Linked DNA regions of Cricetulus griseus. The protein of the gene in region 1 interacts with the protein of each later gene in a pairwise test. Links are inferred from orthologs where the notes say so. Each region holds a gene or a part of one and is shown in the gene's direction. Other genes may lie near its edges.

Region 1 (4,212 bases):
ACCACCTGTAGCTCCAGTTCTAGGGGATCTTATGCCTCTGTTTTTCACAAGCACTGCACATTCCAACATATAAACACAATCTAAAAGAAAAAGAAAAATTGGGATATGAGTTGAATTCAGGAGCTCTTCTTTTTTAAGGAAGAAAAGAAGCGAGTTTTGCTATCTCCATTACCAGATACCCGTGCTGCTTCGGCAGATGAAGCTAAGCCCTGCAAGTTTGCTTTCAGCACTGCAAGTTGAACCCATCAGTCTAACTTTATTGATGGAGAAAGCCAGTCTCAGATTCTTTTTTGTGTCTCGGTAGATGCTTGTTAGTAGCTATGGTCCTTCAAAAATACTTTCTTATGCTTCTCAGTCAGTTGCTTAAGTCTAGAATCCTTCCTAAGGTGCAGGCTTTTGAAAGCCTTCTTTGGCTTTGTTCCTGGAAACTGGAGGAAAAGGAGTGTTGGCACTCCTCATCACAGGGATTCTGTGTGAGCTCATGGTTGGGCTGCGAGAATGGATTCTTAGCCTTAAGTGACTTCAGTCAGAAATAGACACAATCTTTTCTTTGAAGGAGCAGTTAACACGCTGCTAGTTCTTAGCTAATACTAAAATAATTGCAAAAAGTAGTTTTAAAAAGATGGAGTATTTATCAGTGCATGCAACTTTTGTTTTTAAATTTTTTTGAAAGTGAATTCTAAAGATGCTGCCTGCAAGATCCACTGCCTTCTTGCTGAGTATCAAGATGCTTACTTGAATGTATCAAATGTTTCAACTCAGTGTGAGAGATACATAATCAGAAAATAGGAGTGAAGGGAAAATTGGGTGGACCTTCTTGGGAAGCCATGGAAAGATAATTACAAGTATAATTGCCATTTCAGGGCAGAGGTTCCCTACCATTTTCAACCCCATCTAAACTTGCAGAAATATTTATGGAGATTCAGAATTGACTTTTGAGGCAAATGGATTTGGTGGGAAACTCTGCTGGGGACAGTTGTCTTCTGGTGAGAGGCTTCGTGAACCTGGGGAGGCCCTCAGGTGTCTGGTTTCTCCTGCTTTAGGCAAAATCTGTTTTGGCACACACCCCAAAGAGGCACTGGTGCCTTCTACAGGGCGGCAGGGGTGGGACAATAGCAGCGGGTAGGTGGGGCTCCCGGGGATTGGGGTGGAGCTAAAAGGGGGAGTGCCGCCGTAGAGGCGGAGCTGATGAGCCACCACTGCGGCGCTTCGGACTATGGGGGCAGGTGGGAGGGACCAATACGGGGGTAGGGGGGCAAGGCTGGGGGCGGAACTAGCGAGGGTGGAGTGGCCTGGGGGCGGGACCGAGGCGGTGGTGCCCGCGTGGGGGCGTGGCTATAGGGCCTGGAGTCTCATGGAGGCGGGGCCGAGGCGGTGGCACAAGGCTAGGGGTGGGGCCTCGGTGCAGAGAGGCGGCAGGCGACCGGCGGCAGGCTAGTTGGCGGGCCCCTCACTGGTGCGGGAAGGTGTTGTACGATCAGTCCAGGACTATGGCCGCTTCTCCGGTCCCCGGCGGCGGCGGCGGCGGCGGCGGCGGCGGCGCGGGAGCTGTCCACTCCTCCAGTACGTCTGGCTTCGCCTTCGACTCGGGACTGGAGATCAGAACTCGCTCGGTGGAGCAGACGCTGCTGCCCTTGGTTTCTCAGGTACTGCGGCCCCGATCCCCCGTGTGCGCGGCCGGCGATGGCGGCTGCCGCTCTTCCCCGGCCCGGCATGGCGGGGCGGGAGGCGGCGCTGTCCCGCATTCCGCGAGCGCGGCGGTGGCACGGCAGGACTCGCGTGGTGGCCTGGGGCGGGGCGACCACTCCTGGGCGCGCGGTGAGGCGACCGAGCCCAGCAGGTGCGTTGTCCGGCCTAGGCGGCTGGAATCGCCTGGTGCTGCGGCTTCTGCCCAGTGAGGCCCAGCCGTGGGACGGTAGGACCCCTGTGGGGTCCCCTGGCTCCCAGAGCCTAGGCGGCTGCATCTGCGCAGTCCGCCACCGCCGCTGTCCACATCCCACGCCAGACCAGGGCGCTGGATGCAGACTAAGGCACTACAGTTTGCTCCCACTCCGGCATATTCTCCAAGGCCTTTGTCCCGTTCCCTTGACCGTGTGTGTGCTGGCCCAACTCCCACCCACTCTGGCCACCTGCCCTGTCCCTCCGTGTCACTTGCCTGCCTACCTCCGTCTGCCTGGACTAGGCAGAGTGACGGGGGAAGGAGTGCTTGGTGCTTAATCCTGTTGCACACCTTTTTGCCAGTTCTCAGTTGGGATTAGTGCATTATTGTGTTTGTGGGTTATAAAAGGAGTCTAGAATCAGCTAAGTGATGTGCTTAATAAAAATTAAAAAAAAAAGAAAGAAAGGTTTGTTTCTCCGAGCTGAGGTATATATACATAACCTGAGGGCTAGAATTCCTCACCTACAGTTGTGGGTACTATGCCAAACACCAAGTGAAGAATTTTGTCTTTGGCTGCCCGTTGGCGATGGGTGTGACTCATACTAAGCTGTAACATCTTGGTGACTCATGCCAGGATTGCCAAGATTTTAGAGATAGAGTCTTAAATTATCTGACTCTAAATTAAAAAATAATTTCTTACAACAACACCTGGCCACCGATGCCTTACATAAACACTTTTAGTGAAGGGGAGGTTGTCAGTATTCCATAGACTTTTAAATGTTGCCTCTGTTCCAGCCCAGTCCAGAAAATATTTGAAAGCTGTAATTTTATATATGTCCCCTGGATTATCCCCATTTTCCTCCCTGCATCCTGTGATTAGCTGAGCAGTGGTTACTACACTCTGCGGCTTTCCCTCTTCCTGAGTGATGGACGTATGGATCAATGGGAAGAGTGCTGTTGCTCCTTTTCAGTGTCTACACTTCCTTCCACCCTGGAGAACTCCCCCCACATCCCTATCAGCAGGAAAACAACAATCCATAAGTGGTGAGAAATGCCCAAGCACTTCTACACAAGGGAGAGGGATGAGAGTAATGGACTTGAAATGGATAGTGTTTTATCCATCTATTTAATACTCGATGCAGGCTGTGTTCTAAGCACTCTGCCAGTGCTAACTCATTTAATTCTTGACCACCCATGGGGTGAGATATATGCATATTCTCATGAAGCAGATGAGGAAATTGAGGGTTAGTTAGATCAATTAACCTGTTATTATCGAGTTCAACTCTTAACTGACAAATTGGAATTTGAATCCAGACAGCTTGGTTTCAGTAGTCAACTTTTAGCTACTCCTGTGTCCCTTCTAGAGATTAGAGGAGGGGATGAGGTCAGCACAGAGTGGTTACAAAGAAAAAGTTTCACAGTAGGAAAACTAGCCAGAGAGCTTTAATCTGGAAAAAACAGTAACTTTGTATAGTAGGGTTGCTAAAAATTTACCAGTACTACACAGCTTTATTTTTATTTTTATTCTGGAGTGTGGAGAGTATTTACTGCTAAAAATTAACTAGAGGGGTAAACAATCCTCCGGGATTGGTATGAGGCCTTACTCAGGATCACAGCAGAGGTACCGCACACCACAGTTGTATTTCTGTCAAGGTCCACAACTGATAGGCTTAATGGTAGACTGTTCTCAACAAGACAAAATTAAGTTCCCCATTGTATCAGGAGATGCATAAGGCATGCTTATGATGCTTGATTAACAAGTCAGGGAAGTACATAAAGATAATTTAGACTGATTTTAAAGTTTCAGTGAATTTAAAATATTAAGACTGGGGCTAGGAATATAGCTTAGTTGGGATGCTGGCCCTTGGTTGGTTCCCAGTATCACATAAACATTGGAGGTTCGTGTATGTCATCCCAGCACTTAGGAAGTAGAGGCAGGAGAATTAAGAGTTTGGGGTCAGCCTGAATTGTGTGAAGCTCTCTCTCTCTCTCTCTCTCTCTCTCTCTCTCTCTCTCTCTCTGTGTGTGTGTGTGTGTGTGGCAGCGGGAGCAGGGAGTGGTTAGCTCTCTAGAAAGTTTTCATGTCCAAGTGTTTCTCTGCCATAGATAGAGCACTATTATCCAACTAATTTCTCTCCAAGAATATTTTAAATACTTTAAGTAAGGATTTATCTCACACTTAATAGTTGCTGCTCTTTAAAGGGCATATATTTTAGTTGGGAGGTAGGGCGTGTATAGAATAGCAAACACACACACCAAGTATCAAATGAATATTATCAATAATAAATGCTCTGAGGGCTCTGATGCTTGAATCAGGGATGACTCTGAAGGAG
Region 2 (4,284 bases), on another chromosome or scaffold:
AAAAAAGAAAGAAAAAGAAAAAATATGTCGGGGGCTGGAAAGGTGGCTCAGAGGTTAAGAGCACTGGCTGCTCTTCCAGAAGTCCTGAGTTCAATTCCCAGCAACGGCATGGTAGCTCACAACCATCTTTCATAAGATCTGGTGCCCTCTTCTGGTGAGCAGGCAAATATGCAGACAGAATACTGTATACGTAATAAAAATAAGTAAATAAATTTAAAAAAGAAAAGAAAAAACATGTCATGTAGGTTATTTAAAAATAAAGTGCATTTAAATTTTTTTTAAAAAAGTTTTTTGGTATAATTCCTCAAAAGTAAAAAAAGTGAATTTTGCTTGTTTGTTCATTTGCTTGGTTGTTTGTTTTTCCTACTTTTTTTTTTCTTTTTTTTTTCTTTTTTTTTTGAGACAGGGTTTCTTTGTGTAGTTCTGACTGTCCCGGAACTAGCTCTGTAGACCAGGATGGCCTCGAAGTCATAGAGATCCACCTGCCTTTGCCTTCTGAGTGCTGAGATTAAAGGAGTGTGCCGCCATCACTGCCCGGCCCAAAATAAAATATTTTTTTAAAAATTCAATTAAAAACCCTGCTAGGAGATTATTAAAAATAATTTCTGGGGACTAGAGAGATGGCTCAGCTGTTTAGAACACTGCTCTTCCGAGGACCGATGTGAAGTTCCCAGCAGCCACATGGCAGCTCACTACTGTCTGTAACTCCAGTTCCAGGGGACCCGACAGACACATGTGCAGGCAAAACACCAATGCACATTATAAATAAATAAGTAAACAAACAAATAAATAAAGTTATTTTAAAAAATAGGCCGGGCGTTGGTGGCGCATGCCTTTAATCCCAGTACTCGAGGATCTCTGTCGGTTCGAGGCCAGCCTGGTCTCCAGAGCGAGTGCCAGGATAGGCTCCAAAGCTACACAGGAAACCCTGTCTCGAAAAACAAAACAAACCAAAATAAATAAATAAATAAATAAATAAATAAATAAGTAGTCAGATGGTGTTGGTGCACACCTTTAATCTCAGCACTGGGTAGGCTAGAGGCAGGCAGATCACTGGGAGTTTGAGGCAAGCCTGGTCTAGAGAGCGAGTTACAAGACAGCCAAGGATATACACAGAGAAACCCTATCTCGAAAAACTAACAAACAAATCTGAATTCATCCTCAGCCTCGCTGCACTGCTACTCAGTCGTTTTTTTTGTTTTGTTTGCGCACATCTCAGAAAACAAAATGCGACACCTACTGGGCGCAACACTAAAATGAGTTCCTGTAGCGAGCCCTCTTCATAGTTTAAGTTGTTAGGGTTGCTTGTTATGGATGTAGGAGCGGGAGTCACTGGATTGACAGATGATTTTCCAGGCTGGAGGTCAACCAGCTAGCAACGCCAAGCACTTTTAGAGGCTGGGAAGAATGAGAGCGGCTGGGAGGGGCATACGGTGGGCTAGGCGGAGCTAGTAAAGTGGGTGGGGCAGACCAGAGCCTTCCAGGCCACCGCCCAGTATGGCGGCCCCAGTCCTAGGCACTTCGATTCCTGTGTGGTTGAGCGAGGAGGACCTGAGCTGCATTATCTGCCAAGGGCTGCTGGACTGTCCCGTCACGCTGCCCTGCGGCCACAGCTTTTGCCACCGGTGCCTCAATGGCTTGTGGGTCACGCAGCGCGCGGGTGTGGATGGCCGTCCCTGGGCATGCCCCACCTGCCGGGAGGGCCCCGAGGCGAAGCCAAAGCTGCGCAAGAACCTGCTGCTGCAGGACCTGGCGGACAAGTACCGCCAAGCGGCGCTCGAGCTCGAGGCTGGCCCCGCAACCGCGTCCGCGCCCCGGTCGCCGAGTCGCCCCGCGCCACCGCCGGTAGGAAGCCCACACCGCTCTGGCAGCCCGCGTGCGCCCCCTTGGGCCTCTCCTGCCTTCGCGATCTCTTCTTCCGCTACGTGATTTTATCAGTTTAATCTGTTTTCGGGAGTATCTTTGAAAAGTTCAGACTTGTATAAAGAAGTAGAAATGCCCGGCGTGGAGATCGCACGCCTGTAATCCCAGGATTTGGGAGGCTGAGACGGGCATGCCTCACAGCAGCCAAAGCTACATAGTAAGGTCTGGTCACAAACGATAGTTAAAAATCTCATAATAGTTGAAAATCTAAATCCCATCCAACCGAGGTGTATTTCCATTTATTCGACAGCCTTTCTGTGATGTCTAAAAAATTTGCCATTTTAACATTGTTTAATTCTATTTATCGGGGCAGGATCTAACTAGTGTAGACCAAGCTGGACTTGAACCTGAAGTGAGTAATGATCTCTGCCTCCTTGGCTTTCCAAGTCTGGGATTACAGGTGTGAACCACTTGAACTTGCAGAGCTCTGCTTGCCCCTGCTTCTCAAGAGCTGGGATTAAAGGCATGTGCCACCATGACTGGCCAACCATTTGAACAATTTTTTTCAGTGTACAGTTCGATGGCATTTGTCATATCTCCAACACTGTGCATCTGTCACCGCTGTTGCCAAAGTGATTTTATCGCCACATAGGACCTCTGTACCCACTAAGCTATAACACCTGATTCCTGTCCCTCCAGCCTCCGCACATGTCTCATCTACTGTACCAGGCTTTTTCTTTTGAACCACCAATCAGCTCCCAAATATGACTCCGAGACTTCTTTTTTGTAGACCAGGCTGACCTTGAGTTCACTGAGATCCACCTGCCACTGCCTCCCAAGTGCTGGGATTAAAGTTGTGGGCCACCACTGCCGGGTTTGACATGGAGCCTTCTTATTAGTTGTGAATGTTCAGCCTAGTTTAGGCTCGTTTGTGGCTAGCTCTTTAAGTTAACCTGTTCCCCCCTTTTTTCTTTTCCTTTTGCTTCAAGCTTTTTACTTTTCGTTCCTAAGGTTTATTTTAATTTACTGCTTCTCTTCTCTAGCTGGCTGGTAGCTGCCTGGCATCTTGCCCTGGGTGTATATCTCTCTTTCTTCCCTCATTCTCTCCCCTCTCTCCCTTTCTCCCTTTCTCTCTCTCTCTCTCTCTCTCTCTCTCTCTCTCTCTCTCTCTCTCCTGTCTCTCCCTTTCTTTCTTGTTTGCTTTTAAGATTTATTTACTACGTACACATTCTGCCTGCATGAGAGAAGAGGGCACCAGATCTCATTACAGATGGTTGTGAGCCACCATGTGGATGCTGGGAATTGAACTCAGGACCTCTTGAAGAGCAGCCAGTGCTGTTAACCTCTGAGCCAGCCCATGCCTAACTTCTTTCATTCCCATAATATTTTCAGGGCGAATTCATGTTGCAGCATGTATCAGAACACCCTTGCTTTAGGTGGCTATCATATCATCTATGTAGATATATCACTTTCTAATCAATTTATTTGTTAATGAACATTTAAATTGTTTCTACATTCGACTATTATAACTACTGCTACAATGTACATTATCTTACAATTGAGTTCCTATTTTCAGTTTTACTCTTTTCAATTGGGGACTTATCTGAGGGCCCCAGGGGTTCCAGGCATGCATTCTCACCCAGCCTCTCATTTGATTTTCTATATAGTATTGGGCAAGAATCTAACTTCAGGCCAGGCGTTGGTAGTGCACACCTTTAATACCAACACTTAGGAGGCAGAGGCAGGCAGATCTCTGTGAGTTTCAAGCCAGCCTGGTCTATGTGCAGAGCTCCAATATAGCCAGGACTACGTAGAGACAACCTGTCTCAAAAACAAACCAAAGGATCTAACTTCATTGATTGGTATAGGGATATACATTTCTAGTTAGTATTTGTTGAAAATACTTCTTGTGCCTTTAAGTAGTCTTGGCATTCTTGTAAAAATCTATTTCATGGTATATCTGAAGATTTGTTTCTTGTCTCTCTCTTCTTTTCCATCACTCTAAATGTTTTCTTTCATGTTGCTACCTTGGCGTTTATAGCTCCCTTTGTTGAGTGGTGGTTCTGGGTCCAGTTTTTGGGAACCAGAAGCCCAGTTTCACTCTTTTAAAGGTGGCAGTACAGAAAAACACCACAGAAGAGGTCATCCAGGAGCTGACAGAACTGATGCAACAGCTTGTAGACATTGTCAAGAGCCTTCAAACATCAAGACCGGGATCTGGATTGGACAATGAACTAGGCATCCTGGGCATGGTAGGTTCAGGTGGGAAAGGAGGGGCCAGGGTGAAGGACAGCTTCCAGCTAAAGCAGTATGACACATGGGATGCAACAGGTCTCATGTTTCTCTTTACTACCAAATATGGGTGATTAGAAATCTGGCATGCTCGACATGAGTTAATGGAAGCTTCGAGTAAGCTGGGAT
Region 3 (4,165 bases), on another chromosome or scaffold:
CATCTAGTAAGTTAGTAGAAAAGGAAAAGATAATGTAATTTCTAAAAAAATTTTTTTTTTTTTGGTTTTTAGAGGCAGGGTTTCTCTGTGGCTTTGGAGACTGTCCTGGAACTAGCTCTTCTAGACCAGGCTGGTCTCGAACTCACAGAGATCGTCCTGCCTCTGCCTCCCGAGCGCTGGGATTAGAGGCATGTGCCACCAACACCTGGCTATGTTTTTGTTTTCAAATTTATTTAATTGATATAGAATTACTTCATTTTTATCCTCCCTGCAACCCCTGATGTGTCCCCTCAACCTCGAAACTGATAGCCTCTTTTTATTTGATTATTAATCTTATGTATGTGTGGTGTGCATATATATACATATACATATATATGTACAACCTTCTAAAGCCAGTTTTGTTATTATAAACAAACATTTTTTTACTATGACTGCTTTTTCTATTTGTAAACACTAGTGATTTATCTTATTATTGCCTAACAATAAGTCTAATATTTTATGCCCTCTCATTTCTAGACTATTGAAAGCCACAAAAAGAGCAATTCTCAAAACAGTAGCTTAGAATGCTAGACTGTGGGGATGATATTACTGAGCATATTTCTCAGCCACCAATCAGACAGAACTGATCCCTAGCCAATTATAGTAGTTGTTTCTTTTTTTTTTTTAACTCTTTACTATTTGCTTTTTTCTCTTTCAGGGGCCCAAATGTAGCTCCCAAATAAATCCCACGCAGAGGATTATTGTTACTTATAAATGCCCAGCCTTAGCTTATCTTGTTGCTAGCCAGCTTTCCTTAATAAAATTATCTCATCTACCTTTTGCCTCTGGGCTTTTTCCTTTTCTTCTGTATATCTTACTTTCACTCTTACTCCATGTCTTGATGTGTGGCTGGGTGGTTGGCCGTTTTCATCCTCCTCTCTTTTTCAACCTTGCTCCTTTGGCCGAGATTTCTCATCCAATTTATTCTCACTGCCTGCCAGCCCTGCCTATCTTTTCTCCTGCCTTACTATTGGCCATTCATATCTTTATTAAACTATCAAGTGTTTTAGAGAGGGAAAGAATCACAGCTTCACCGAGTTAAACAAATGCGATATAAAAGAACGCAATACATCATTGCATTATTAAACAAATGTTCTACTGCATAAACAAATGTAAAATACCATAAAATATCATTACACACACACACACACACACACACACACACACACACACACACACACACACACATTTATACACACACAGACATCCCCATTATTTCCACAGTTTATCCCTGAAACTAGGTGCATTCTTGTTAAAATGTGAAGAATACTTGTTTGGGGAATGTGTTTTCTTACTGAAAACTTCTTTAACACAAGGTCAAAAATGTGATGAAAACTATCATGGCTGGATTGCAGCAAACCAACAGTGAAAAGATTCTTCTGAGCTGGGTTCGACAATCAACACGTAATTATCCACAGGTTAATGTCATCAACTTCACCTCCAGCTGGTCTGATGGCCTAGCTTTGAATGCGCTCATCCACAGTCACAGGTGAGTTTTTTGAGATTTAAATTGTTTTTAAGTATTGATTTAGACACTGATGGTGTGTTTTACTGCAGTGTGGCCCCTCTACTATGCCACGTGTTGTTAACAATATCAATCTAAGTATATATGATTAACAGAGAAAGCTTTTTTATGTTTGCTTGTTTATTTGAGTTAGGGTATCCTCTAGGCAGGCCTTACCTACCTAAAAATTATGATAGTGCTGTCTCATTTCTGAGTAATGAGATTACATGCTTTAAACACCATGACCATTATATTTTCTAATTTTTAAGTTACATATGATGATGTTTGAAGGAGAAACAAACCTGAACACATTTTATCCTGAGATTCCTAAACAGCCAGGTTATTTCATATCTTTGCTAATAAGGAGACTTAATAGTTTTAATAGAAACATATGCATCAGATTGAGCCTAGACTATATAACTAACTAAAAGTTGCTGTAAATGTCATGTAAGTGGTTTTAGTGAAATCAGATAAATAATGTACAGGTAATTATTTGTCATATGAAACAGAAGCTTACATAGCAAACACCAGGATGCCCTGGAAGTTTTTTTCTCATCAGGATTAAAAGAAATACCAAACATTTTAGCAAACATGGCAAAAAGAGGGGTAAGGTGAGTTCTAAATTACAGTGTTCAGAACTTCAAAAGAAGCAGTTTCTCTATAGCAATGAAGCAATTTCTGTGAAATAAGGAACAGCTCTTTGGACCTTCATAAAAATAACAGCATAACATAATGAACTAAGCAGCTTTTACTATAGTTCAGTTGTGTTATGGTTCTTCAAATGATGAAATAATGCTTTACTTTTCTTAGATAATAAAGTTTAATGAATTAATTTATGATAGGCCAAAGAAAATTAGATCCATGTAGGATATATATATATATTATATATATATATATATATATATAATATATACTTTCATATGTATAAGCTATACAGCACCATTCTACATATGATACACAAAGTTACATTTCCTTCAAGAAATATCTACTTTTGGTCTTATTATTAATTGTCTCTTTAAAGATGGTCAAATTAATTTTTTTATGCCATTGGACTTAAACTTCCCTGAATCTCCATGTAGGTTATCTTTTGTCACTTACATTTATCTTTACTTTGTTCCCTATTCTTTTTCTCCAAGTCTACCATTTTTCTATGCCACTCTTGCTTACAGAGAAGGTCAGAATATAAATTTTCCTTGTGATAAGGCTGAACTCAAGGGCAAACTCAAAGTAAGCATCTTTGTCAGGTGTCATGCTCCAGCTGGGCTTAATTAGCCCCATCCAGACTGGGTTTCCAGGTGAGTGATTCAGCAAACCTGACTGTGAAAAGGAGCCTGACTGGCCCTAATCCACACATTTAACAAGGTAAACAGATTGGTTTTCATAGGTACAACAAAAGAAACATTTTCCAAGCTTCAGTACAGTCAGGTAAGAAGAGATAGAGCTATTGATTCCACATCATAAGTTCCTGCTCATTAATGCAGCCACATGTTTCACATTAAGGGCCTGAAGAAATATTGATCATTCTCTTCATGTATAAATTTGTAGATAAACAAAAATATTGAGGATCAGGTTATGTGCTACTTGTAGGCTCTTTAATATTTTCTTTTCAAGTGTGAGATAGCTTCACTGCATGTTCACACACCATATTTGATAATTTTCTTTTTGTAATTCCTGAATATAATTTAAGTAATACAGGAAACATCCAGCCTGTACTATCCCTGACCCACTCTTTCTCTGCAACAGTGTATCTGCATTTATGTATTTTCCTACTTGGTACTGAATGAGCATCAATAACTATTTTTTTATACATTACATGTTTAGTTTTCAAGAGGTTCCTCACAGTTGCTTAATGCTGTTTCATGAATCATCTGCCTTTTTGTCTTTGACAGATGTTAATATTGTTTATCTACAGAAAAAAAACATGGTTGGACTTTCTGTTCCAAGGTGATTGTCATTGGCATTCTTAGGAATGTCATTCAGTGCCCTGATTTCAATTATTGAGTGACTAAGCTATATAGAACAAAGACACAGAGCAAAGAGACCTTGGAATTTAAAAGGTTTATGTTCAAACACAATGCCCATTACAGTGAAGTTGAAAGGAAACCAGTTTCCAATTTAGAGGAAAAAATGATAACTGATAAGAAATATGTAGCAAACATGGACATTAAATTATAATGCCTTTACACTGATTAAATTTTCATGCTAATTCCTTCTCTTCCTACTCTAGGACATGGTTTAAGAAAAAGATATCCATTATGTTACTGACATCTCCCTTTGGTCTAGTCTCAGCTCCTTGTTACTTGTGATCTTTATTGAAAGGACTCAGGTGGGAAGACAGAATGCATTATAGAGTAAAATGAGGTACACTCAACAGAAAAAAACGGGTAGTGTTCAAAGAGGCCATTTGTTGAGGCAAACACTGTCATGGGATGGGAGTCAACAGTAGTCAGAGACAATATTTTGCATTTCATTTTTTTTATAAATTTTATTTAAATTAGCAGAGAGAAAATTTTTATAGAGCAAACTTTATAGGGATGAGAATACACATTGACCAAAAGGACATTTGTGCCACCCTGTGTTTTTCAGTTAAGCATCATACTGTTTCCAAAAGTTCCCAGAACA

What was found.
Region 2: the proteins of Ctnnal1 (region 1) and Rnf135 interact in binary tests that used the Homo sapiens proteins (3 or more experiments, as listed by UniProt). The two-hybrid records come from large-scale screens. The link is inferred for Cricetulus griseus from reciprocal best matches to the Homo sapiens genes CTNNAL1 and RNF135.
Region 3: the proteins of Ctnnal1 (region 1) and Dmd interact in binary tests that used the Homo sapiens proteins (3 or more experiments, as listed by UniProt). The two-hybrid records come from large-scale screens. The link is inferred for Cricetulus griseus from reciprocal best matches to the Homo sapiens genes CTNNAL1 and DMD.

Annotation. Positions count from the first base shown.
Region 1 is NC_048595.1:87,021,913-87,026,124, forward strand, and holds the start of Ctnnal1 (alpha-catulin), read left to right. Parts: upstream 1-1,406; 5' UTR 1,407-1,490; coding exon 1,491-1,646; intron 1,647-4,212. UniProt on the Homo sapiens protein: May modulate the Rho pathway signaling by providing a scaffold for the Lbc Rho guanine nucleotide exchange factor (ARHGEF1).
Region 2 is NC_048600.1:93,649,121-93,653,404, forward strand, and holds the start of Rnf135 (E3 ubiquitin-protein ligase RNF135), read left to right. Parts: upstream 1-1,474; 5' UTR 1,475-1,497; coding exon 1,498-1,845; intron 1,846-3,974; coding exon 3,975-4,115; intron 4,116-4,284.
Region 3 is NC_048604.1:84,649,368-84,653,532, reverse strand, and holds the start of Dmd (dystrophin), read left to right. Parts: upstream 1-1,355; 5' UTR 1,356-1,367; coding exon 1,368-1,528; intron 1,529-4,165. UniProt on the Homo sapiens protein: Anchors the extracellular matrix to the cytoskeleton via F-actin. Ligand for dystroglycan.